2 linked regions of the Macaca mulatta genome follow. The protein of the gene in region 1 purifies or fractionates together with the protein of each later gene. This does not show direct contact. Links are inferred from orthologs where the notes say so. Each region holds a gene or a part of one and is shown in the gene's direction. Other genes may lie near its edges.

What was found.
Region 2: the proteins of RPLP2 (region 1) and RPL30 fractionate together in Homo sapiens (co-fractionation; 3 studies listed by BioGRID and IntAct, with this or other methods). This does not show direct contact. The link is inferred for Macaca mulatta from reciprocal best matches to the Homo sapiens genes RPLP2 and RPL30.

Annotation. Positions count from the first base shown.
Region 1 is NC_133419.1:702,982-707,323, forward strand, and holds the start of RPLP2 (large ribosomal subunit protein P2), read left to right. Parts: upstream 1-1,473; 5' UTR 1,474-1,515; intron 1,516-1,709; 5' UTR 1,710-1,710; coding exon 1,711-1,833; intron 1,834-3,382; coding exon 3,383-3,431; intron 3,432-3,466; exon of another isoform or gene 3,467-3,600; intron 3,601-4,342. UniProt on the Homo sapiens protein: Plays an important role in the elongation step of protein synthesis.
Region 2 is NC_133413.1:108,419,417-108,423,892, reverse strand, and holds the start of RPL30 (large ribosomal subunit protein eL30), read left to right. Parts: upstream 1-1,479; 5' UTR 1,480-1,517; intron 1,518-1,625; 5' UTR 1,626-1,657; coding exon 1,658-1,678; intron 1,679-1,936; coding exon 1,937-2,082; intron 2,083-4,125; coding exon 4,126-4,256; intron 4,257-4,476.

The DNA of each region.
Region 1 (4,342 bases):
CACTTGAGCCCATGTCTCAACAACACTGTCTCTACCAAAAAATTTTAGCCAGGTGTGGTGGCACAGGCCTGTGGTCTCAGCTAAGAGGCTGAGGTGGGAGGATCACCTGATCCCAGGAATTTGAGGCTGTAGTGGGCTGTGATCCAGCCACTGCAGTCCAGGCTGGGCGACAGAATGGGGCCCAGTCTCAAAAATTACAAAATTAAAAAGTCACATTGTTCGCAAGATGTTTTCCCGCCTTTATCCCAGATGTGTGACCTCGAGCAAGAAAACCTTTCTGTACCCAACCGCCTCATCTATAAAATGGGGGTAATGACACCGAGGCCACAGAAGGCGACGGTGAAGTCGAGTTCCAATGCTTGATGTATACACATCCCAGGGTTTGCACTGCTGTTTGAGCCCCACGGGAGCAGGCGCTGCCTGCTAGCACCTTAGGTACCTGCATCTGACCCCCTGTTCCTGGTGCTAGCCCCGGATATTGGCAGGGTTGGCTCCTTATCTCTCAGCTTAGACTTTCTCAGGCTGCCCAGACCAACTCGCGCTCTGTCCCTATCCCTCGGATCGCCCCCTTATTCACCTCCTGCGTCCTCGCAGAAGAACTGAAGTCCTTAGAAGGCACGGCCAACCCTGTTCCCTCCCAGGACCCGAGAATGTGGCAGGGTCCCCTGATGTGCTATGTCCACATGGACACCAAGGTCAGTTCTTGGCCGAAGCGGCCAGCGCAGGGGCTGACCGCTCGGACCTCACTCCTCCCAGGGGTGAGTGGGCGACGCTGCCTCAAGTCATTGTCCTGCCCTCCAAGGTTCGCGCTCGTCCTCTGGCAGGACGCCCTGGCCCCGCAGGACGGGGGTGGCCTCCCAGGTAGGGCTGCAGTCGCTAAGTCCGAGGCGGCTGGCTCACCTCACTGAGCCCGGCTGGACATGGGGCCACCGGTCGCCGCGGCCAGGGAACCACCAAAGAGTCAGGGCGAGCCTACCGCGAGCAGCCCCCGCTCGGGCCCACGTGCCGTTCCGCGTAGGCCGGCGGCGCAGGCCACTTCCGGCAGCGGTGCACCATGGGACTTGCAGTTCGCGGGCGAAGGTTGCGTCCGGGGCGTGGCAGCCGCGCTGCATGTTGGGCGCTGTAGGCGCCGCGTGGCATGCTGGGAGCGCTAGGTACCGAAGGCAGATGCCGTCCCTTTGGGCTCGCTTCGTCCGTCGCCACCACGAGTTTCGGGGGACCTTCGCCCCACGCTATAAGAGCAGCCACTTCCGGAACTACTGGCCTTCGCCTGTGCCGCGGAAACTGTCTTGACGGGGCCGGGGGGGAAGTGTCAATGGCTTCTCCTCCATCGTCATTGGCTGAGCGCCTCGTGACGCCATTCTGAGGCGCCTCATGCGGCGCCCCGCTCGGGTCCCGGAGGCTTCTGGGTAGCGGTTTACCCCCGCCCCTTGCATCGGCGCCTTCCTTTTCCTCCCTGACACCGCCGAAGTCGCACGCGTGAGGCCTCTCCGCCGCCGCCGCAGACGCCGCCGCGTGAGTGTGATGACCCGGCCCGGGGTGCGGGCTGGGGACGCGGGGTCCGCGGGCATGCGAGGTGGGCGGCGGGGTCTTTCCGGGACGGAGGCCTACTGGTCTAGCCACACGCGGCCTCGTCCGGCGGCCCCGGGGTGGGCAGGCCGGAGGCCACCGGGATAACACCGCCGTCGCGCCCTCTCCGCCCGCCTCAGAATGCGCTACGTCGCCTCCTACCTGCTGGCTGCCCTCGGGGGTAACTCCTCCCCCAGCGCCAAGGACATCAAGAAGATCTTGGACAGCGTGGGCATCGAGGCGGACGACGACCGACTCAACAAGGTAGCTGCCGCCCTTGCCCCGCAGCCGCCGTAGAGCGCCGTACAGGCGATTTTTCTGCCTGATCCGGCCACATGCTGGAGGGTTCGGGGAGAGGCTTGTTTCAGTCCAGTCGGCGATGTCTCGGGTAGAGAAGTAAGCAGGGTGGGGGCCAGGTGCAGTGGTTCACGCCTGTAGTCCCAGTACTTTGGGAGGACGAGGCGAGCGGATCACCTGAGGTCAGGAGTTCGAAACCAGCCTGGCAAACATGTGGAAGCCCCATCTCTACTAAAAATACAAAAATTAGCCGGGCGTGGTGGTGGGTGCCTGTAGTCCCTGCTACTTGGGAGGCTGAGGCAGGAGAATCGCTTGAACCCGGGAGATGGAGGTTGCACTGAGCCAAGATCATGCCACTGCACTGCAGACTGGGCGACAGAACGAGACCCTGTCTCAAAAGGAAAAAATAAAAAGCTGGAGGGGTACGAGGCAAAGTCGTGATTAATGAGCTTTGGAAGTTTAATACAAGTGAGATGCATAAGATTCCTTAAAAAACAAACAAAAAAGGCAGTCCTGGCGAGTGGCTCACCCAGCACTTTGGGAGGCCAAGGCGGGTGGATTATTGGAGCCTCGGAATTCAAGACTAGCCTGGAAAACATCATAAAACCTGGTCTCCAGAAAAAGTTGAAAAAAAAAAAAGTTGTAGGCAGTGGTGCACATCTGTAGTCTCAGCTACTCAGGAGGCTGAGGCGGGAGGCTCATTTGAGCCTGGGAAGTCAAGGCTGCATGGAATAGTGATGGTGCCACTGCAGTCCCACAGAGCCAAGCCCTGTCTCTAAAATACAATTAAAAAAATCAAGGCCGGGCGCGGTGGCTCAAGCCTGTAATCCCAGCACTTTGGGAGGCCGAGACGGGCGGATCACGAGGTCAGGAGATGGAGACCATCCTGGCTAACACAGTGAAACCCCGTCTCTACTAAAAAATACAAAAAATTAGCCGGGCGAGGTGGCGGGCGCCTGTAGTCCCAGCTACTTGGGAGGCTGAGGCAGGAGAATAGCGTGAACCCGGGAGGCGGAGCTTGCAGTGAGCTGAGATCCCGCCACTGCACTCCAGCCTGGGCGGCAGAGCAAGACTCCGTCTCAAAAAAAAAAAAAAAAAAAAAATCAGCCAGGTGTGTGTGCTCACACCTGTTGTCCCAGACTGAGGTGGGAGAGTCGCTTGAGCCCGGGAGGTCAAGGCTGCAGTGAGATCCCACCACTGCACTCCAGCCTGAAGTCAAAGTCAGTTTCATTGACAGCTTATTTTGCCCGTGTTGAAGATACCTGTGAGTAGTCAACATTAAGCGGTGAGACATCGTGTGTTCCCTTCTCAGTCCTAAGTCTAAGAAACCTAGTGTCCATTTATTTTTATATCACTTACCAAGCGAGGGTGGTGGCTCCCTTTGGGCAGTGCAGGTCTAGAAACTTCAGGGCGTATTCCTCTGTGGGGGACCCAGTCCTGCTGTGATTCTGGAAGGGATAGGGCCAGGGATACATTTGCACTTTCCTGGTAACAGCTGTGTGATTATCTGCTCCAGGTTATTAGTGAGCTGAATGGAAAAAACATTGAAGACGTCATTGCCCAGGGTGAGTTGATGTGGAGGGGCTTTCATTTGTTTTCATGGTCCATCCTAATCCCTGCTGGTCCGTCTGTGGCCTGCCAGGTTTCGCTTGTGGACCAGAGCACCCTAGAAGCCTCACCTGAGGAGTGAGCAGGGCTCCAGTGGGCTCATGTCATGGGCGCTTCTAGACACTCCCAGGAGTAGGGCAGCAGGGGGCACCCTGTGTTCTCAGTGGACGTTTAGGTGGCCCTGCCTCTGAAGCTTGGTGTCTGGAGAACTGAGTTCATGTCAGCAGTTCTTACCGCATGCTTTCTGTGAAGGAGCTGGGGGCAGGGACTACGGGTGCCAGGGATGTTCACAGGCTTCTTGCCTCTTTGTTGGGCAGATGGTTTTTTGTTGGTGTCAGCTGAGCTGGTGGGAGTTGTTTGGAAGTTGAGCTGTTGGGGCAGCTGTTCCTGTCTTCCATGCATGTGACCAGGACAGGGCTGGCTCAGCAAACGGGCCAAGCCATGAGCACATGGCTGTGGCCAGAGATGTGGACACTGGAGCAGCATGCTCATTGTCCAGGCCGAGCATGGTGGCTCACGCCTGTAATCCCACCACTTTGGGAGGCCGAGGCGGGCGGATCACAAGGTCAGGAGATGGAGACCATCTTGGCTAACACGGTGAAACGCCATCTCTACTGAAGATATGAAAAATTAGCTGGGCGAGGTGGCGGGCGCCTGTAGTCCCAGCTACTTGGCAGGCTGAGGCAGGAGAATGGCGTGAACCTGGAAGGTGGAGCTTGCAGTGAGCCGAGATTGCGCCACTGAACTCCAGCCTGGGCAACAGAGCAAGACTCTGTCTCAAAAAAAAAAAACAACAACAAAAAACCATGTTTGTCCAACGGACATCTGAGGGTGGAGGTGGGGAAAGTGGGCAGGCAGGTAATGTGGG
Region 2 (4,476 bases), on another chromosome or scaffold:
GGCCCGATCTCAGCTTACTGCTACCTTTGCCTCCCAGGTTCAAGCGATTCTCCTGCTTCAACCTCCCGAGGTAGTTGCGATTGCAGGCACGAGCCACCACACCTGGCTATTTTTTTTTATTTTTAGTAGAGAAGGGGTTTCACCATGTTGGCCAGACTGTCTCGAACTCCTGACAGGTGATCCGCTCACCTCGGACTTCTAACGTGTTGAGATTACAAGTGTGAGCCACCGCATCCGGCCTGAATCAACTTTGTGAAGAGACCTAAGTTACCTGGGCTCTGGTCCTAGCTCTGACAACAGCCCTAGATATGTAAAATGGACAATAAAAGGGTTACTATCTCATGGAAATTTTGTGAGTATTAAATACATATATGTAAATGATTCCTGGTACAGCACGCGTTTTTTGGTGAGGCTTAATTAAGGAGGGGAAGAGGTTTCCCTCACGTAGCTTACCCACTGGTCTGATTGATTAGGTGGGGATTTTCAGCGCCTAATATTTTCAGTGGTCTGTCTCTGGACATTTATACCAAGATCCAGCGTTAACAGCAGAAATACTTTTTAAAAATTAGACCTGTTTTTCGCGCTCTCAGTGCAAACTCGGCTCACAAGTTCACGCTAACACAGACACAAAAGGCGAATTTTGGGAAACTCGCGCAGGGCGCCACAGCTCTCCAGGGGAAGGGGACAGGTAACTTGCGTGACCGCAGGGGTGAGGACACTGCTGCTTCTACCAAGCGGAGAGTAAATGCGGGGGCTGCGGCGCAGCGGAGTCATCCACAAGGCTCTCCAAGAGCCGCGCCTCAGGGAAAAGGTGAATTCAGTCGCATTAAGACCGTGGTCGCAGCCGCCGCAGCCTCTTCTCATCGACCCTCCCACCTCACCTTCAGTCTGCTTTTCCAACTCCCTCCGGGTTCTAAGCTCCTCGATTCGTTAGATCGCAGCTCCAAGACCAACAGCAACACAACGCCGAGAAGCTTAAAGGCCCGCAAAGAGGGAAAGCGAACACCCCCGCCGCCATTCTTTTTTTCCCTTCTTTGAGACAGAGTCTCACTCTGTCGCCCAGGCCGAGTGCAGTGGCGCGATCACGGCCACTGCAGCCTCGACCTACAGAGCTCAAGCGATCCTCCCGCCTCAGCCTCCGGCGGAGCTAGGAGTAACTGGGACTACAGGAGCGCGCCACCACGCCCGGCTAATTTATTTATTTATTTTTTGTAGAGACGGGGGTGGTCTCACTATGTTGCCCAGGCTGGCCTTGAGCTGGACGCAACAGATCCTCCCGCCTCGACCTCCTGAAGTGCTGGGATTAAAGGTATGAGACGCCGCGTACTGCTCCCGCAGCCATTCTAGCTAGCGGTACCAATAGCAACCCGCAGCGGCCCTCCGCTTTTTGTTCCGCCCCTTCTGCTTGCGATCTGTTTCCGCTTCCGGTCCTGCAATTCCGGCTCTGCCGTGAAGAGCTTTGCATTGTGGGAACTCCTTCCTTTCTCGCTCCCCGGCCATCTTAGTGGCTGCTTTTGGTGAGTGGGCTCCTGCTGACCAAGGTTTAGGCAGCGCGGGGAGCTTTGCGGGTTGCCATTTGGAACTCCGGATCCTAAACTTCCTGTCCTGTCCTCTGTCTCTTCTAGCTTGGGGGCCGTCCCGCACCTGAGGCAGGAAGATGGTGGCCGCAAAGAAGACGGTGAGTGAGGCGGGCCAGGCCCGGAAGCCGATTCACGTGGAGAGATGTCTCGGCCGGGGCGGGCAGATGTGAGCCCACTGGGGTGACAGCATGTCTGCTGGCATTTGGAGGGCCCCAGAGGGAATCCCAGTGGCCCTCTCAATGACTTGGGGGTCCTCGACTTCGGAAGTTAAGAGGCTTGGCTTCAAAAAGCTGGGTCCAGTTTTGAAGTGGTTGCAGACGAGGCCCTTAGGTCCGTGTTTAATGTTTGCTTTGTAGAAAAAGTCGCTGGAGTCGATCAACTCTAGGCTCCAACTCGTTATGAAAAGTGGGAAGTACGTCCTGGGGTACAAGCAGACTCTGAAGATGATCAGACAAGGCAAAGCGAAATTGGTCATTCTCGCTAACAACTGCCCAGCTTTGAGGTAATCGAAGAACCTGAACGAGCGTCGCCTACCGCGAATTCATCGTGAACGAATATACAGGAGAGTAAACTTGTAATCTGAGTACCATGAACTCGAACACTTGCAGGATAATTATGGTAGCGATTGTGGTGTTTGGCCCTTCGTTGCCGTCTCCCCCACCCACCCCCAAATCATGTGCTCCCCTTCTGTGAGCTTATTTCTGGGGGAGAAACGTGTGTGTGGCAGGAGGAGTGAAAACAGGACATTGGGGTTTGATGGAAGCACAGACACATTATTTGTTTTTTCCATATATTTTGTGTTCTGCTTTTTTGGTTCTTTTAGCTTTGAGGTGTCTAATGATGCTTCATTGTGTGAACCTGTTTTATTGTCAAAAAACTAGGTAAGAAAAGTTGAGGCTGGGCCATGGCGTTGCAGGCTATCATAGAATCACCTAGTTTAGCCCACTAAATCAGTTCTGAGTCAAGGTTTATGCTTGACTCACTGTTCTGAAATTGAACTTAGGGGGTGTTGTAAATAAGCTAAAGAAACTTGGACCTTGCAGAATATAAACCATGTGACCAAATTTTCTGTGGTAATGCATAAGCTGCTTACAGCGTTTTATATAGGGTGTCTAGTTATTGTCAAAGCCTGGAGGGCCCTTTCTGTCTCGTCCCATGGGTTGGGCTTTTCCCAAACATTCTTTGAAACTTTAAAGCCTGTCTTCTGTAGTAGTGCTTCTGAAACATCACTGTGCAAAGGAGTCACATGGGTAATGTTAAAATGCAAGTTCTGATTTCATTGGATTTGGGATGGGGCCCGAGGTGCTTTTTTTTTTGAGCCAGAGTTTCGCTCTTGTCACCCAGACTGGAGTGCAGTGGCACAATCTAAGCTCACTGCAACCTCCACCTCCCAGGTTCAAGCAATTCTCCTGCCTCAGCCTCCTGAGTAGCTGCGATTACAGGCACCCGCCACCATGCCTGGCTAATTTTTGTATTTTTAGTAGAGATGGGGTTTCGCCATGTTGGCCAGGCTGGTCTCGAACTCGTGACCTTAGGTGATCCACCCACCTCAGCCTGTCAAACTGATGAGATTACAGGCCTGAGCTACCAGCTTGAGGTTCTTTTTAAACTAGTACATTGTAGCACTATTGCTGGTATGTGGATCTACATAATTGAGTGGCAAGATAGTATAGGACTCCTTTCCGATTCCTAAAACCATTAGTGTCTACTAAATTGACGCTGAAATTTTGTATTTTTAGTAGAGACAAGGTTTCACCATGTTGGCCAGGTTGATCTGGAATTCCTGACTTCAAAATGATCCGGCCTCCCAAAGTGCTGGGATTACACGCATGAGGCCAGAAATTTTAACTTTAAAACGGTGTCACTCCCTGTCTAGAATTCTGGGCAATGGGGGATAGTGATAGAAATGGCTTATTTTTTAAAGGTTTGGATTCTGGATCCTCCACTTACTATTCTGTGGCTCAGTTTCATTAGATTAAAAAAAAAAAAAAAAGAATAGGGCTGCGTGCAGTGGCTTATGCCTGTAATTCCAGCACTTTGGGAGGCCGAGGCGGGCGAATCCCTTGAGGTCAGGAGTTCGAGACCAGCCTAGCCAGCATGGTGAAACCCCATCTCTACCAAAAATACAAAAAATTAGCTGGGTGTGGTGGTACATGCCTGTGATCCCAGCTACTTGAGAGGCTAAGGCAGGAGAATCACTTGAACCTGGGAGGTGGAAGCTGCAGTGAGCCAAGATCGTGCCACTGCACAAATAATGCTTTGCTTTTGTTTATTTGCATCCTACCGTCTTCTGTGAGTATTAATACTGTCTTAAACATGTTAGGGGTTGAGTAGATATTTGCTGGTTGCCCCTTCACTTGCAAAGGATACATATAAATGTTGGTTTATATTGGATAATGAATATGATGTTTTTAAGGGTAGTATGTGATTTTGTTACTTTTTGAAGGCCTTAAGAACATTAACACTAGTAAAAGAAGTAGTAACATTTAGTCTGTCAGTCACTTGGTATTGCATTTATTTATTTGCCTTTTTTTGGTTCCCAAAGGAAATCTGAAATAGAGTACTATGCAATGTTGGCTAAAACTGGTGTCCATCACTACAGTGGAAATAATATTGAACTGGGCACAGCATGCGGAAAATACTACAGAGTGTGCACACTGGCTATCATTGATCCAGGTATGCTTTTTAAATCATAAAGTCTTTTTTTTTTTTTTTTTGCCTTTCTAATGTAATGTCTGGACAAGTATTTCTTACTACGCAAATGTCTTTGGTTCCTAAATTCAGATAGAATATGGATATAGCAAGGCAAATCCTGTAGTTGTCTTTTGTAGCGAATTGGTTATGAATGTCAACACATTATAATTGGCTTTATTATAAATTAAAATTTTTACTGTCA